3 linked regions of the Arabidopsis thaliana genome follow. The protein of the gene in region 2 interacts with the protein of the main gene of each other region in a pairwise test. Each region holds a gene or a part of one and is shown on either strand. Other genes may lie near its edges.

Evidence for each region.
Region 1: the proteins of AT3G03210 (region 2) and AT5G16900 interact in a protein complementation assay, tested with the Arabidopsis thaliana proteins (one large-scale study listed by BioGRID).
Region 3: the proteins of AT3G03210 (region 2) and AT3G50120 interact in a protein complementation assay, tested with the Arabidopsis thaliana proteins (one large-scale study listed by BioGRID).

The regions. Positions count from the first base shown.
Region 1 is NC_003076.8:5,553,300-5,560,600, forward strand, and holds AT5G16900 (Leucine-rich repeat protein kinase family protein), read left to right. Parts: upstream 1-1,757; 5' UTR 1,758-1,777; intron 1,778-1,881; 5' UTR 1,882-1,954; coding exon 1,955-2,021; intron 2,022-2,135; coding exon 2,136-2,673; intron 2,674-2,803; exon of another isoform or gene 2,804-2,917; coding exon of another isoform or gene 2,918-2,964; coding exon 2,965-3,470; intron 3,471-3,820; coding exon 3,821-3,965; intron 3,966-4,049; coding exon 4,050-4,121; intron 4,122-4,448; coding exon 4,449-4,520; intron 4,521-4,607; coding exon 4,608-4,679; intron 4,680-4,750; coding exon 4,751-4,914; intron 4,915-5,013; coding exon 5,014-5,228; intron 5,229-5,334; coding exon 5,335-5,461; coding exon of another isoform or gene 5,462-5,494; exon of another isoform or gene 5,495-5,553; coding exon 5,554-5,619; intron 5,620-5,772; coding exon 5,773-5,962; intron 5,963-6,049; coding exon 6,050-6,416; 3' UTR 6,417-6,641; downstream 6,642-7,301. Other genes in the region: AT5G16890 (Exostosin family protein), read left to right, coding at 183-298, 387-525, 654-764, 905-973, 1,302-1,442.
Region 2 is NC_003074.8:738,648-742,876, forward strand, and holds AT3G03210 (Pmr5/Cas1p GDSL/SGNH-like acyl-esterase family protein), read left to right. Parts: upstream 1-2,056; 5' UTR 2,057-2,339; coding exon 2,340-3,446; 3' UTR 3,447-3,662; downstream 3,663-4,229. Other genes in the region: EXPA13 (expansin A13), read right to left, coding at 4,008-4,229. UniProt on the Arabidopsis thaliana protein: Component of the plant cell wall polysaccharide acetylation pathway. Does not directly catalyze O-acetylation of xyloglucan but exhibits weak acetylesterase activity in vitro.
Region 3 is NC_003074.8:18,584,463-18,589,380, forward strand, and holds AT3G50120 (transmembrane protein, putative (DUF247)), read right to left. Parts: upstream 2,891-4,918; 5' UTR 2,785-2,890; coding exon 2,144-2,784; intron 2,062-2,143; coding exon 1,532-2,061; intron 1,120-1,531; coding exon 695-1,119; 3' UTR 538-694; downstream 1-537. Other genes in the region: AT3G50123 (uncharacterized protein), read left to right, coding at 3,512-3,655; AT3G50130 (transmembrane protein, putative (DUF247)), read right to left, coding at 4,649-4,918.

The sequences.
Region 1 (7,301 bases), on a different chromosome or scaffold from region 2:
CATCAAATGCTCTTGCCTTTTCTTGTGTCGGTGGCTTTTAGGATTTCCCATAATAGTTGGTATACTTTGTTTGTTATATAAAAATAATTGGAATACCTCATTATACTGGGAAAGCTCTCAGTCGACCTTTGCCTTTTCTTATAATTTTGTGTCTCATGATTTGGTTGCTGAATTTGTATTAGGGGGGTAAAATACGTGCCAAACTTGGTGCAGAATTAAGTGGTATCAAGGATATAATAATTTCTGAGGGGACTGCCGGAGAGGGAGGAAAATTGGCAGCGCAACGTGGCATGCGTAGGTATATTGGGTGGCTCCTTGACCCATTTGGTTGCAGCACATTTAGTTTTTCTTTCAACTTTCTCTAACTATTTCTGCCTTTCTATCAGATCTTTATTCTGTTTGTGTCCTGCTGGTGACACACCATCTTCAGCGAGGTTGTTTGATGCCATTGTCAGTGGCTGTATACCTGTTATAGTCAGTGACGAGTTGGAATTTCCTTTTGAAGGAATACTTGATTACAAGAAGGTATGCTAGAAAACGTATTACATTGGTGCTCTGAATTATAACCATTTTTTGTCTGAATTAGTTTAGATATGAAGCAAAGTTTGTATGACTGTTCGCTCTCTTTTCTTTTGCTTTTGTTTACCTTTCAGGTTGCTGTGCTTGTTTCTTCCAGTGATGCAATACAGCCAGGGTGGCTTGTAAACCATCTGAGAAGTCTTACGCCCTTCCAAGTCAAGGGGTTGCAGAATAATCTTGCTCAAGTAAGTACTTAGTTTTCCTTATCACTAACTTTGATGTTACAAAATGCATAGTTCGCCTTACACGAAAGGGCATAGCAACCTTACTTGGGCAGTGGATCTTTATATATATTAAGTAATATGGTTGTTTTAAACTTTTCCAGTACTCTCGCCATTTCCTATATTCGAGCCCTGCTCAGCCATTAGGTCCAGAGGACTTGACATGGAGAATGGTATGTACCTACAAAACTTACATACCTTTCTATAACTAAGATGGAAAAGAAATCAAAAGCTTAATAATATCTGACAGAATGTACATGTGGTAACTTAATTTTGATATTGTGAAAAAAAACAGAGTATAAAAACTTCACCTTTTGTGTTGTACAATGGCAAGGTCTCTTCCTTAATTATCCTGATTGTTCAGCACCATGTGTGTTCGGCTTATCCATTAATCGTCTAATTAAGTATTTGCCTTGATCTTTGATCAGTCAGTGAGAAGAACTTACTGCAATGTCGAAATCTAAGATTCAGAAAATCTTGATGTGTTTGTTGCGTTGACAGATAGCCGGAAAGCTGGTGAATATCAAGCTTCACACGAGGAGGTCACAGCGGGTCGTGAAAGGATCTAGGAGTATTTGCAGATGCGATTGCTGGAGATCCAACTCTACAGCCTCCAATTCTTTGAGTTCTCTCTTGTCTTAAGACCGATCACTCTGACTTCACATTCCAGTCTTGAATACCCTAGATATATACTGTGGAATGTGTATCCTATTCAATTTTAACATTGTTTGCTATTTTATATAATGTAATTCCTGTTCATCTTCGCAACTTGGCTACTTTTAGCTACGTGGAAATATTATGAAACTAACATTTTATACAATTGTGTATGTCCTCTTCACGTCATTTAAAGGTCTCTCATTGTCTGCTTGTTATTTTATTCCCTTGCGACGTTTTAAGTATTAGCAGATGATATAGACATGGGTGAATTTTTCACCACCAGCCTGTAGAAATTATCTACAAACATTAAAGTTTTTCAAGTTGAGTTAGAAAATATTTTGAGCTACTTTTATTTATGTATTTTGATTCAGATATCTTTGGTGGCACTTTTAATTGTTGACCTCACAAAACTGTTTTTTATTAGTCTCCATCAGAGGAGTTGATCATAGGCACTTCTTCATATACCAGAACACTGGCGGTTCTTTGAGGTAGCAGAAATGGAGGATCGTCATCGTTATCTTTTTTTCATATTTGCCATTATACATTATGTTCAGGCTCAACAAGGTAACCACATTTTATTGCATTGTTGCACACGTCTTTTGTCTGTTTACTGATTAACCTAAAGCAATATTTCGTGGATGAAAGTCAATCATTCATAACTATATTTCCTCTCACCAGGATTCATCAGTTTGGATTGCGGGTTGCCGAGTAACGAGCCTCCATATATTGAACCGGTAACCGGATTAGTATTCTCATCGGATGCGGATCACATCCCTAGTGGAATAAGCGGTAGAATCCAGAAGAATCTGGAAGCAGTACACATAAAGCCGTATTTGTTTCTGAGATACTTTCCAGATGGGCTACGAAATTGCTATACTCTAGATGTCCTTCAGAACCGAAGATACATGATCAAAGCTGTGTTTGTGTATGGAAATTACGATGGTTATAATGATTATCCGAGTTTTGATCTGTATCTAGGTCCTAATAAGTGGGTAAGAGTTGACTTGGAAGGAAAGGTCAATGGCAGTGTTGAAGAGATTATTCACATACCAAGTTCAAACTCTCTGCAGATTTGTCTTGTCAAGACAGGTAATTCTTTGCCGTTCATATCCGCCCTGGAACTGAGGCTTTTGAGAAACGATACTTATGTTGTCCAAGACGTTTCCTTGAAGCATTTATTTCGGAGGTACTATAGACAGTCAGATCGGTTAATCCGGTAAGTGTTGCACTATATCATAATCTGTAATTTGATGTTGATATACAAAATTTCCCTAAACTTAGCAATATATAGATGCATGAAGACAATACAAGAAACCTTCAAATGTCTGACCAACATCAGGAAGTTTCCTATTAATGCTCTTACCAATGAACTTTGACTTATATAATAGACGTATTGAAATTGTTTTTAATGATCGTAATGTCTTTCATAGACCAGTTGTTTGTGAACTGGTGAATTAGTGATGCATGGTTTATCAATCCATGTAGATGTGTTTTCTGATGTCCGCAGGTATCCTGACGATGTCTATGATCGTGTTTGGTCCCCATTCTTCTTACCGGAATGGACGCAGATAACTACCAGTTTAGATGTGAATAACTCTAACAACTACGAGCCACCAAAAGCAGCATTAACATCAGCTGCCACACCTGGAGACAATGGAACGCGATTGACCATTATTTGGACTTTGGATAACCCTGATGAGCAAATTCACCTGTATGTTCACTTTGCCGAGCTTGAACCTGTTGGGGAAAACACTGACGAGGCCTTGAGAACTTTATTTACAAGGACCTTTTACTTTGTGGTGAATGGAAAGATTAGTTATGATGAGAGTATTACTCCTTTAGACTTGGCTGTAAGTACTGTAGAGACTGTGGTGAACAAATGCGATGGCGGTAACTGCAGTTTGCAGCTGGTACGCAGCGAAGCGTCTCCGGGAGTACGTGTACCTCTGGTTAATGCTATGGAGGCATTCACTGCAATCAAGTTTCCACATTCTGAAACAAATCCTGATGATGGTACGTACGTATATATCTCAACTACTTTTACTAAAATTTTGGGATATATGCCTCAAACTATTATATGGAATGCTATTCCATTAGCTCGACCAGTTTTCTGTAGTATCATATTAATTTTCTACAGATGGTAAAGCAAGTTAATGTGAACCAAATTATTGCACTTTATCTAACAGTAGTCCACATACGAGACATGAGTGATGATGATGAGGTTATGTAAATTAGTTCATGCGAGAATTAATCAAGAGGAATCATCATAGTATCAACCACAAGAAATAATTTGTTTTGAACATATTACCTAATTCTTGTTTTTAATATGTTTTAAGTATGGTATATCTTTAACTCTATGACAGTTATATCTATCAAGGTTATCCAAGCTACCTATGAACTGAGCAGAGTCGACTGGCAAGGAGATCCGTGTCTTCCCCAGCAGTTTTTGTGGACTGGCCTAAACTGCAGCTACATGAACATGTCTACGTCACCAAGAATCATTTCCTTGTAAGCACTTAAAAGTGTGATATTGTTGTTATAAATTAGTTACGTTTCTAGATTTCTTACTGCTAAAATGTGTTATGTGACCAGAGACCTGTCCTCACATAAATTAACTGGGAAAATAGTGCCAGATATACAAAATCTGACCCAGCTACAGAAACTGTAAGTATGGCCTCTAATAACTGCGCTGTTTGAGCATCAATAGGTTTTTCAAGTTTAGTATGGTTTTTGTACTTCTATTGACTATATATACCAAGAATTTTGGATGTTTATTTTTAATTTCTAGTATCATTTCCTGCACATGTGGCTGCACATCTGCATTACCAATATAAAATCAGTCGCTGTTTTTTCAACAAACTATTTCTATGTAACCTTGTTTCTGCATCCTCACACATGAATGACTATGATTAGGCAGATTTCAATTTCTTCATTGGATATAGAGTAGTGTGATTTGTTTTTCTTTTCCGTATTTAATAAACATAACTGTAGGGACTTGTCGAATAACAAGTTGACCGGAGGTGTGCCTGAGTTTCTAGCCAACATGAAGTCACTGTTGTTCATGTAAGTCCTCAAACAAGTGAACTTATCTCTTTCTGTTTTCTCTAAATTCTTTGCATTTTCATGAGATAATAGCTTTTTCCATGACAGAAACCTAAGCAATAACAATCTTGTTGGTTCCATTCCTCAAGCGCTTCTTGACCGAAAAAATCTGAAGTTGGAGTAAGATCTTCAAACGTAACATTCTTTCAACTATTACTTGTGCCCTTAGATGATTTCTATTTATTCTGTAGGTTTGAAGGAAATCCAAAGCTTTGCGCCACAGGTCCGTGTAACAGTTCAAGTGGAAATAAAGAAACCACAGTCATAGCACCTGTTGCTGCTGCAATAGCCATTTTTATAGCTGTTTTGGTTCTCATTATTGTTTTCATAAAGAAAAGGCCATCAAGTATAAGAGGTAATGTTAATAAAGAAAATATGTTACATTATAAGAAAACAGGAATAAAAGCTACTAGAAGTTATTTAGCTATATATTTTACTTGATGTTTTTATGCAGCTCTACATCCGTCACGGGCTAATTTATCTCTGGAAAATAAAAAACGAAGGATCACATATTCAGAGATATTGTTGATGACAAATAACTTTGAAAGAGTTATTGGTGAAGGAGGGTTTGGGGTCGTCTATCATGGTTATTTGAATGATAGTGAGCAAGTGGCTGTTAAAGTGCTCTCTCCGTCCTCATCTCAAGGCTATAAAGAATTCAAAGCAGAGGTGATTTTACTACAAACTTTGAACATGGAATTGACTACAAAGGTATTATGGCTTCTCCTTGAGATTCAAATAATCATTGATGAATGGATTTCCTTATGGTTGATAGGTTGAACTTCTCCTTAGAGTTCACCACATAAATTTGGTAAGCCTTGTTGGATATTGTGATGAACAAGCACACTTAGCCCTCATCTACGAGTACATGGCTAATGGAGACTTAAAATCGCATCTTTCAGGTAGACATGAATAATATGGTTTGGTGGTTTTGACAGGTAATTATACAGTAACATCTTATCTTCATTAGACATGTATCTCCTGGTTATTACAGGAAAACATGGGGACTGTGTTTTAAAATGGGAAAACAGATTAAGCATAGCTGTTGAAACCGCACTAGGTTAGTGTTATTTCGTCCATTCCATAACTAATCTGTTTTCAATACTAAAAAGCCTCTCAAGAAGTTGATTTTGTCCAATTTTATCCCCCTTGTAAATTCCCCTCCTACAAACTTATGATGATACGTTAAACATAAATGAAACTTTCAATATAGGATTGGAGTACTTGCATAGTGGATGCAAACCACTAATGGTTCACAGAGATGTCAAAAGCATGAATATACTGTTGGATGAGCACTTCCAAGCTAAACTAGCGGATTTCGGACTGTCTAGATCTTTTTCTGTTGGAGAGGAAAGCCATGTGTCGACTGGTGTTGTAGGCACTCCTGGATACTTAGATCCTGAGTAAGCATCAATATAGAACAGGGTGCATTCCAAATATAATTTCCGAGTGGTTAAAGAAACATGATTTGTTATGTATTGTCTGTGTAGGTATTACAGAACATATCGCTTGACCGAAAAGAGTGATGTCTATAGTTTTGGGATCGTGTTATTGGAGATAATCACAAATCAACCCGTACTTGAGCAAGCTAACGAAAATCGACACATCGCAGAACGTGTAAGGACTATGCTTACAAGAAGTGATATTAGCACCATTGTTGATCCTAACCTCATTGGCGAGTATGATTCTGGTTCTGTGCGGAAAGCTCTTAAACTAGCGATGTCGTGTGTGGATCCATCTCCGGTTGCAAGACCAGACATGTCACATGTTGTTCAGGAGCTTAAACAGTGTATCAAATCTGAAAACCTGAGACTGAGGACAGGATTGAACCAAGTCATAGACTCGAAAAGTTCCTAGGACGACCAAGACTAGAGTTTTGGTTCGGGAATGACTCCAAATGCACGGTGGTGATCTCTGATCTGTGACCAAATGTATTTCTCGTTTTGTGTCTTGCAAACAAAACATAATAAATCAAATTAAGTCAATTGATGTTTTCAAATCCGATCCGCTTGACGTGATCCGCTGATAATATTGGTCTGCGATGGGGTGTGTTGTTGGTTCGTTTTGTGTAATAGCGTGGATTAATATTCACTCATCACATAAATTTTCAAAAATAACAACAAATTAAATACTATATGTCAGATATTTAATATTAATGTTGACAGGGACATTATTACGTGTATAATGAGAATTATTCGTGGTTAGTAGTAGTTACTCCCATAGATATGAAATATTGACATTTTTGATCAATGCTACGTACACACGTAACACGTTATCTCATTATTCCAAAAAGAAACATTTTGTATTCACAGGTGAGAAATACTCCTGCGACCGCGTATTCCCATTCCTTATTTTGAAATTCCCCAAAGTACCCTCATCGTCTCTTTCAGTGTGCTTACACGTTTTTTGATACCCGAGATTAACGCCTCCCTACGACATTCTTTTTTATTTTCCCATATTTTATTCTGCAAAATACCAAAAACAAAATTGCTTTATACTAACATGATATATTAATGACATTAATCTAAACAACGATATATTAATGACATTAATCACAACCATTTCCCCTTTATTATAAGAGGATTTCGTAATCTTACATTTCTTAATGCCATTATATTTTTAACTTGCGACTTCCCGAGAAAATTCAAATTCACTTGAGTTATTTTCAAAACTTGGATTCTACAGTATCTGTTTGCTATAAACACTTGTAAATCACTGAACTGAGATCAAATAAATTAGAGA
Region 2 (4,229 bases):
GTTCGTTGAGGGCTTGGAGAGCAAGGTTATATATAAAGAGGTAATGAAAAAGGGAGATGCAAAAGTGAATAAAGGGAAGGTCCCCATCCCAAAATAACATATAATGTTAAAAAAATTCAAAATTTAATTAATATTTACAATTCATCAATTTCTGTCCGACGCATATATAATATTGTTCGAAGTGTTTTTTTTATATTGATAGATAATTAAAATGCTAACAAATAACATGATCACGTGTAGATTCTGGTACTTAACCGGAATAATTAATCAAAAATTGCCGCCCTAAATGTAAACCGTGTTTCTTCATCAATTATATTATCCCATGCTTCTCCGAGAGTGGTCGGTCTGGAATATATGTGCACTTGTCAGATTTCTATTGGTTGCATGGGAGATCGAATCTTGGGTTAACCCAAAACTGTTGCAATCTCTCTTTCTTTTTTTTCTTTTTTTTTTTTGTTATTTGGCGGCACTTCTAACTGAAATAACTGTCTCTTTTGTACCCACTTGCATGCGAATCCTTTGTTTCCCTTCACATTGCCATCCGATCTACGTACATAGATCTTTTTTAAAAATAGATATCTTGATGTTGTAAATTTATACTAGTAGTGTTTTACATTTTATTTTGTCATTTATATATGTCTATTTCTGTTTCTCATATTCATATTGTATATCGTATATCGAATAGAAAGATGAACTCCATTTTATGGTCGTTCCATCAGTTAATGCTCATATATTTTCTAGTGTATTAGGCTGTTAATGTAAGGTTGTGTGATTCGGGAAAAAAAATTGAAATTTCGGAGATTTTGAAACAAAAATTAAAAAATTGAGTGGCCAGAAATCCTTTCCTCTCCATATTTAGTGTCGTCATATAAAATACCAAAACTTTTGTTCCAATATAGAAAAACTATTGACCGAAAGTCCAATTACGTACTCCAAAGACTTATGGATATAAGAAATTATAGTTTGAGTATTTATCATTTTGGTCGAAACTCGAAAGCTATATATAATCATATGAACATACAGTCACATTTGGTGTAGGCGACTATAAAACTTATCTAAAGTTGATTTATCAAAAAAAAACTTATCTAAAATTTGGAAAAATGAAATCGATCAGATATATATATATATATATATATATATATATAAAATTTGAACAAGCATATGGTTTTGAGATGGTTATATGTATGATCATGTGGGATCCAGCAGTTGTGAACATGTGAATAAATCCTTGGAAGCTATTGATGGGCCAACCCAAGAGAATCACTTCTCAGCCTTTCTCATCATCGTCATAACCTTTTTCTCTCATTATTCCAAATTCCATATTCTCTTTCTTCTTTGTATCACCATATATATACACATATATATATATCTTTAATATATCTACAATGTGTACATAGTACATACCCTTCTTGAGACATTTCCCTCACATGAATCCATCTTTTGGTTCTTTACTTAATTCTTTTTAACGTTCACACACATTCTATAAACTAATAACATATTAGTCCTATGATTAGCCCCACCATTAGATTGGGTCATTGCCTCATTGGCAAAAATATATAAATTTGGTTAGAATGAGAAAGTAATAAATTAAAAGTTAATATGTAAAAATCGGTTGAAACTATTATGAAATTTCGGAGTCTACAAGATCCCCAAGACTTAAGACCGTGAAGAAAAATCACGAAATTACATGTAACTTTAGCTATAAAAAAAGAAGTCTAAATGATTATAATGATTTTTTCTCCATTTATTATATGATGAAAACGCGGATCTACAGAATTTAATGTCATTCCAAGATGAAATCGTACGTATGAAAATACACATAAGGAAAGTGTCATTGATTTGTTGAACGATGTGGGCTAAATGGGCTTTCCCGTGGGCCGAGTAACTTATGATCAATCTACAAGCGGTCACGTGAATAAATGGGCTTGACCGTGGGCCGAGGAACTTATGATTAATCTAAAAGCGGTCACGTGATTCCCAGCGGTGAGCGCACGTTAGAATAGTTCCCAGTTCCATAATGAGGCTAAAGTGAGCCGAACCATGTCTGAGAGTCAGAGAGATGAGATCATAAATTAATGGAGATCTTACAAATATGGAAAATTTTAAATACAAAAAATCGAACCAAAGAAGAAGAAGCCTACGGTTGTTCTGTTCCTTTCAATCTCACCAAATTTTCATCTTCACCTTCAATTTTGATAGATTCTCTTCACCGAACCAAATCCGTAACCCTAGCTTCTTCTTAAATTATAGAGAAAAAGAGTTAATTCGAATCTGGATGAAATTGGTTTTGTCTAGATGGAAATCTAGATGTGTCTGATTCCGAAATCTGAGTCTGAGAGATGCTAGGAGCGATTCATTTGGGAGTATTAGCAGCTTGTTTCGTCCTCTTCGTTCCCATGGCAATGGCTGGTTGGCATCTGAGCAGGAACAAGATGCTCTTCTTTAGTGGCGCTTTGTTTATTTCTCTCGCGGTTTGTGTTCATCTCACGCCTTATTTCCCTTCCGTTTCCGACATCGTTGCCTCTGTTTCCTCTGTTGTTGTCTACGATCATCGTATCTCTTGTATCAACGAGGTTAATCAGATTGTCTGGGATGTTAAACCGGTACCGAATCCGGAGTCTGTTCGTAGGAACAATGGCTCAACAAAGCTTGATTATTTCGTGAAGAACTGGGATTGGATGAAATCGAGGAAAGTTTTGAGTTGTGAGTTTCAGAAATTGGATAAGTTCGATGTTTCGGATTTGTTGAATGGATCGTGGGTTGTTGTTGCTGGTGATTCTCAGGCGAGATTCGTGGCTTTGTCTTTGTTGAATCTTGTTTTGGGTTCGGATTCCAAGGCTATGGATTCGGTTAGAGGGGATTTGTTTAGGAGACATAGTGATTACAGCATTGTGGTTAAGGAGATTGGGATGAAGCTTGATTTTGTTTGGGCTCCTTATGAGAAAGATTTGGATGATCTTGTGGTATCTTATAAGAAGATGAAAAAGTATCCTGATGTTGTGATCATGGGAACTGGGTTATGGCATATGCTTCATGTGAACAATGCTTCAGATTTTGGTTTTAGGTTGAGGCAATTGAGTAGTCATGTGGAGTCTCTAGTGCCCCTTACGCCAAAGGAGCAAGAAGGAGGTGGGTCGGTCTCCGGTAGATCTGTGCATCTGTTCTGGATTGGGATGCCGGTTTTGATCAACGGGATGTTGAATACGGATGAGAAGAAGGAGAAGATGAGTGATACGGTGTGGCATGAGTATGATAGATCACTCGGGGAGAGTAAGATCTTACGTCAAATGGGTGGTCCTCTTATCTTGCTTGATATCCAGTCGTTTACCTGGAACTGTGGACCGCAATGTACACTTGACGGGATGCATTATGACTCTGCGGTCTATGATGCCGCTGTCCATGTCATGCTCAATGCGTTGCTTATTGAATCTCATCAATCTTTATGAGTTCTTGACACGTTTTTTTTTTGTTTTTTTTCCTTTTATTTTGTTTGGGGTTCTCTTGTAGAGTTTTAAGAGAAGTGGGATGTTCATAGGAATTTTACAACACACGGTGATCCTTTTGGCCTGAGTGATCTTCACATTGGAGAAGTAAGTGAACTTACATTCATGGCTATAATAGGTTTAATATCTTTTGACTTTGAGAAGTTATAACCTTTAGCTATTCTGATTCTTGTTATATCACAGTACCCTTTTGGATTCTTTTTACGATAAGACTCAGTACTCATCATTAGCTTTAAGCACTTGAAGGAAGCTTTCGCTCCTTAGTAATGTAAACAAATAGATACAATAGTGATGTTTGTGTGATCACTGTTCTTAGTACATTGGTGAGTTTTTGTACCTATGCGTGGGAGAGAGAGAACTATGAAATGCAAAAGTCTGACCCAAGTTCTTTCCTTTTCAACCCTAAAGATAACCTTAGACCAAGATCGATATACTTGCCATCAAAAAATTCTGACCCGGAAAAAAAGAATCATGGGATTGTATCTCAATGTGTCCGTCTCTGTCTCACGGAGTCTCGAATTGTTTCCCTTCGAAGGTCTGTCCATAATTCCAGTTTTTCGGGGAGACATTGTAAGATGTCACGGTTGACCTGTCACTAGAAGTTACTTCAAATGAGAGAGCTTGGTTCCTGAGATCAGCATTAATATGCCAATTTTGTCCCCAATTACGACCCATAGGTAACCACCCGGTTCTCGACCCTTTGATCTTCACAGCAGCTATATCACC
Region 3 (4,918 bases), about 18 Mb from region 2:
TTCAATGGAGGAGGAAGAAGATTGGAGCTGATTCTGATTCAGAGCAGCAGCGTACGAAATTTCCGATGAACGTGCGGAGATTAACGATCAATTCCCGTTTTATCATCCCCCGCTCTTGCCGGTCAGAATTTTGTGTTTCGTTCATTGGGCCTATATGGTCACATTATGTTGAATCCTAGTTGGTCTGGGCCTTATAGATATCGAAAAGGCCCAGTTTTGGTAATCCAGTGGGCGTAAGTGCGTGACGTGTCAATGTAATCACAAACGATCTACATATCCTACTATATAATTTGGGAAATACATTTTAAATGTAATCTTAATTTTTGTAAGTAATTACATAGGGATGCCATTAGAAATAAAATTTTAAAGAGTAAATTAATTTATGTATTTAAGGATTAAAAAGTCAAATACTAATTTAATTAATTAAATTAATTAAAAAACGAAATACATTATTAATTTTCAAAAATAATAGCCAATCAAAATCAACATATAAGATTTGATATCTAAATTTTAATTAATTTAATTTAATTTCAATATGGATTAAATCTTTAATTTATTATTTTAATAAAATTTACAAGTTTTAATATATATTACTTTTAAAAATAAATCGTCCCGCGGTATACCACAAGTTAAAATCTAGTACATATGTATAATATAACACACAAAAAAATGCTTTGAAAAACAAGTTATAAGGTTAAGAAGGTGGCTTATAATAAGCGTAAACAGCGTAAAAACTTTGAGAGAAAGTGAGGACTAGTAGAATAACCGCAGCACAGAAAGAAACAATTGCCCATGGATTATTGAAGTACTTATGTTTCAACGTAGCCCTCCAAGCATTCCACTTATGATCGTAGTAACGATTAACCTCAATCGATAACCTAGATAAATAGCTATCTTCGGTGTCGAATACAACTTCTTGACATAAACGGTTGAACAAATCCGCGACTTCAGAATCGCTCCCTAGCCAATGTTCGATGATACCACAGTAGTGTAAGTAGCTAACATCTTCGTGAGAATCTATTAGATTGTCCATGAAGATTATGTAGGATGTTATATCATTGCTCGAATCGATATGACACTGCTCAAAAGCTATAAGATTCAGAAAAAGAGATTTGGTACCTACAAAAAAACATACGAGGATGGCTTTACTTATTATAAACATTTAGTTGTTTTGTTGAGAAAATGTATTTGTTTCATTATCTAAACTTTTTGCCAATCTGAAAACACATACTCTTTTCCATTGCTTAGATCATTCTGAATTAGTCAATTGATGACATTTCTTATATTCCAAAGTAGCATTTTTATGCAACATACCACATCAATACATCATGATTCCTACTAATATATTCTTTGTCAATCCATATAAACCAATACAAACGAGAAAATATCAATTTATATGGATTTGATGAATTAAAAAGGTGATGGATAAGAAAAAAAAACTGTAACATTTTACTCAAACAAAAGAAAAATAAATTGTAAACATATGGGGCATGTGTTAAAAAGAAGAAAAATGTGAAAAACGTGAACGTACCGTCATGGATAAGTAGCCTCGGTATTTCTAGATAACCGTTTTTGAATTGCATATCCCAAAACCGGTCGGTTTTCCTTCTTCTGAATTTTATACCAGCCTCTTTTAGTTCCGTCACACAATGTATCAATTGTTGCCGGCGCTTGTCCGCCACACGCGTGTTTCGAGACCATCTCTTTCTTGTTAACCTCGGCTCCGGTTTAGGACTAGACCGTAACAAACTACGACGGAAAACATCTAGACAATGCAGTTCACCCATATCAGCGAATGGGTCAAAGGATTTATCTCTTGCCAGTGAGTTCTCGAGTTTTGACTGGCCAGATTTAGTCAACGGCTCGTCCGTTGGCATTAGTGGATCAAAGAACCGAATTGCTAATTGTGCCACCAAACCGGTTTGGTTCCGTGTACCAAGCTGTAACTCTAATAACCGGTTTAGAACAAATAAAGGAAGTTGATTTTCAAGCATTACCATGTCACGTTGAATCGAATGCATCGATCCTCTCATCGCGAAAACTGGATCGTTACGTGCATATCTACACAAAACATTATTGTGACCGGTTTAACAATTATTTGAGAGAACCGGAAATAACCAGATATTGAAAAAATCAGGCTTACCCGAGTTCAGTGAATCCTTCAACGGCTCCTCTAAAGAGCTCAAGCACAAAACAACCATCAAGAACTAGCATTTCGATAAATTCGTTACTACTCAAACTTAAGGGACCTTCGTAACAAGCTCGAGCCTTTTCCTCTAGCTCTCTCATGGCGTCGATATACATTTTAATGCCTTGGTTCGTACGTTTCAAGACTCTATTGACAGCACGCCATTTGTGACGGTCCATAGACCGGAGCCGTTTCTTACCATGATGGTACGGACCAAGCGAGACTGTCTGAGGGAAATACGATTTGTTGTCGTTTTCTTGAAGGTAATATGGAACTCTGTAGATACAGAGCTTACCCCAGAGTGTTGTGTCATCATCTCTATGTGCTTGTTCGAGCTTGTCTGTGATCGAGATCACCCAATCGTCTCGTGAATCTTTTGGACTCTCTTTGATTACGTAGATAGCGGGATCGGATTGAGTTTGCTGGTTGTTATGAATGTTTTGATCTTGATCGGATCTGGTGATTTCGGGTAAACCGGGGAGGTTTTGATCTTGATTAACCAATACGGATTCTTGGTTTTGTGTTTCGAGTTTTTCGCGGATCTTAAGGGTGAGTAAGTACCAGCTCAACATGTCTTTGTAGAAGACAGCCACCATTTTTTTTGTTGCTTGAAGCTTTTTTAAGAAAATGAGGGAGTGAGAGAGAAGGAAGTATATGTGAATGATTTGAAGATATAATTGGTTACTTATTGTACTTATGGACCCAACTGATCTGTAATGACAACAACCATAATTAGATATTTATAAACACACACACACACATATTAATATCTTTGAAGAAAAAAGTAACAACTAAAAGTTTATATATCTTACCTAATTATTTTAACTACTAAAATATACAAATTAATTTGGAATCGTGCGGCTTAAAAGGGTAACATAGAATAGAAAATATGCATTTGTGTTCTATAATTTACCATATATCCGACCATTATCCATAGATAATAGAATTTTGATATACCCTTTCGTTTTGGTTTGAGTACGAATCCTTAACGCATCAAAGAAGGGTAAGGTCATTGCGCAACCATACTAGAAACGCTCGTATGGGGAATATGAGAGTCGTTGGACAAGATAAGATTATTTGTCTTGTCGAATTTGGGCAATTTTAAACGATAAAAGCACAAAATAAAATCTCTTCTTTAGTGGTTTTTTTCTTCTCCCTTTTTTCCTTTTTGCTCTTTGTGTCACATCTTGAAATTCACATTTCATCGTTGTTATTGATATTCTATGGGGTATTTGGTGCATTATGGTATTTTTCTTATATCTCGAGCAACAATTATTAATAAGAAAAATAGAAAATAAAAATATAGTGAGAGCATAACGGAACATGTACACTACACAGCTAGTGTGTGGAACATGGCACGACCTCACCATTTCTCGTATGGATGATGATTGCTCAACAAACTTTGAATCTATATTGGTTGACGGGTCACAGTTTTTTTTGTGCTTATTTTCATTAGCCAAACTCTAGGGTGTGGCCGAAGACTAATCTATGATGTAAAAGAGAATAGTAGAAAAGGTTTTCACATTAATTTTATCAACTGTAAGAAAAAGGTAAAAAAATGTTTCCTTCTTATTCCATGGAAAACCCAAAACACAAAAGTGAAATGAGAAGAAACTTTTTCTTTAGGTTAGAAATGTGGAAAATATTTCCTCTAGTGATCACTTCCCATTTTTTACTGTTTTATTCCTCTTGTTTTTCTTTCTTTGATTGCACCCAATCAAACCTTTATATGATTTTATTTAAATTACTGTAGTACATTCGACAAAAGTGAAATTGACTATCTAGACTCTTTAGTCTTAATACATCGAGTGTTATGGAGATTTTTCGTCATCTTGGAAAGTGAGTCAAACTTTGGAATATCCGTCAATAGACAATGGTCATTCTCATTAATGTTTTGGAACATTGTTGTAGTCTTAATTTCCGATAACATATTCAAATCTGAACATACCACATCATTGGCTGGAGACGTACTGGTGAATCAAAAGAAATTTTAAAGAGGTGTACAACTTAATATAACTATTTGGTAACCATATAGTGCTAAACTAGTGTAGAAATGCAATTACAAGTTTAAGCATCGATGGTAAACTAGTTTGGTTGTGACGACGGCAAAAATGTCTCTTGGGACGATATCGTTTTATCGACGTAATCTATATTTGTTCTGACCTGTCTCAGTGTCTCACCTCCTATGAAGCTAACTGTTAATATATATATGGCATCGTCCCCCCTAGACCTACCGAGTCACAGCGATACTTTCATGCTACCACAGACACCTTGTCATGATCAGATTCAAGACATGTGAACAATCAAAAATAAGATTAAATAAAAATGCTGGAAAATTTTAATTTTAGTTTCTGATTTTATTTTTGCAATACAATAGAAAATAAAATAAACAAAAATGCTCGAAAAAAAGTTACAAACATTCCAAGTTTAATGAAGGAAACTACTGAATAATAATGAAAATCAAGAAGGTGGGTTAAAATAAGGATAAGCAGTAAAGAAACTCTGAAATAACGTGAGAACTAGCAGGACAAGAGCAGCAAAAAAAGAGAAGTATGCCCAAGGATTATTGAAGTACTTGTGTTTTAAGATCGCCTTCAGAACATTCCACTTTCGGCTATAATTCCGATCAACTTTATTCGACAATTGTGACAAATAACTATTTTGGGGGTCGAAAGCCACTTCTTGACATAACCGGTTGAACAAATCCGCAACTTCATAATCATTCCCTAA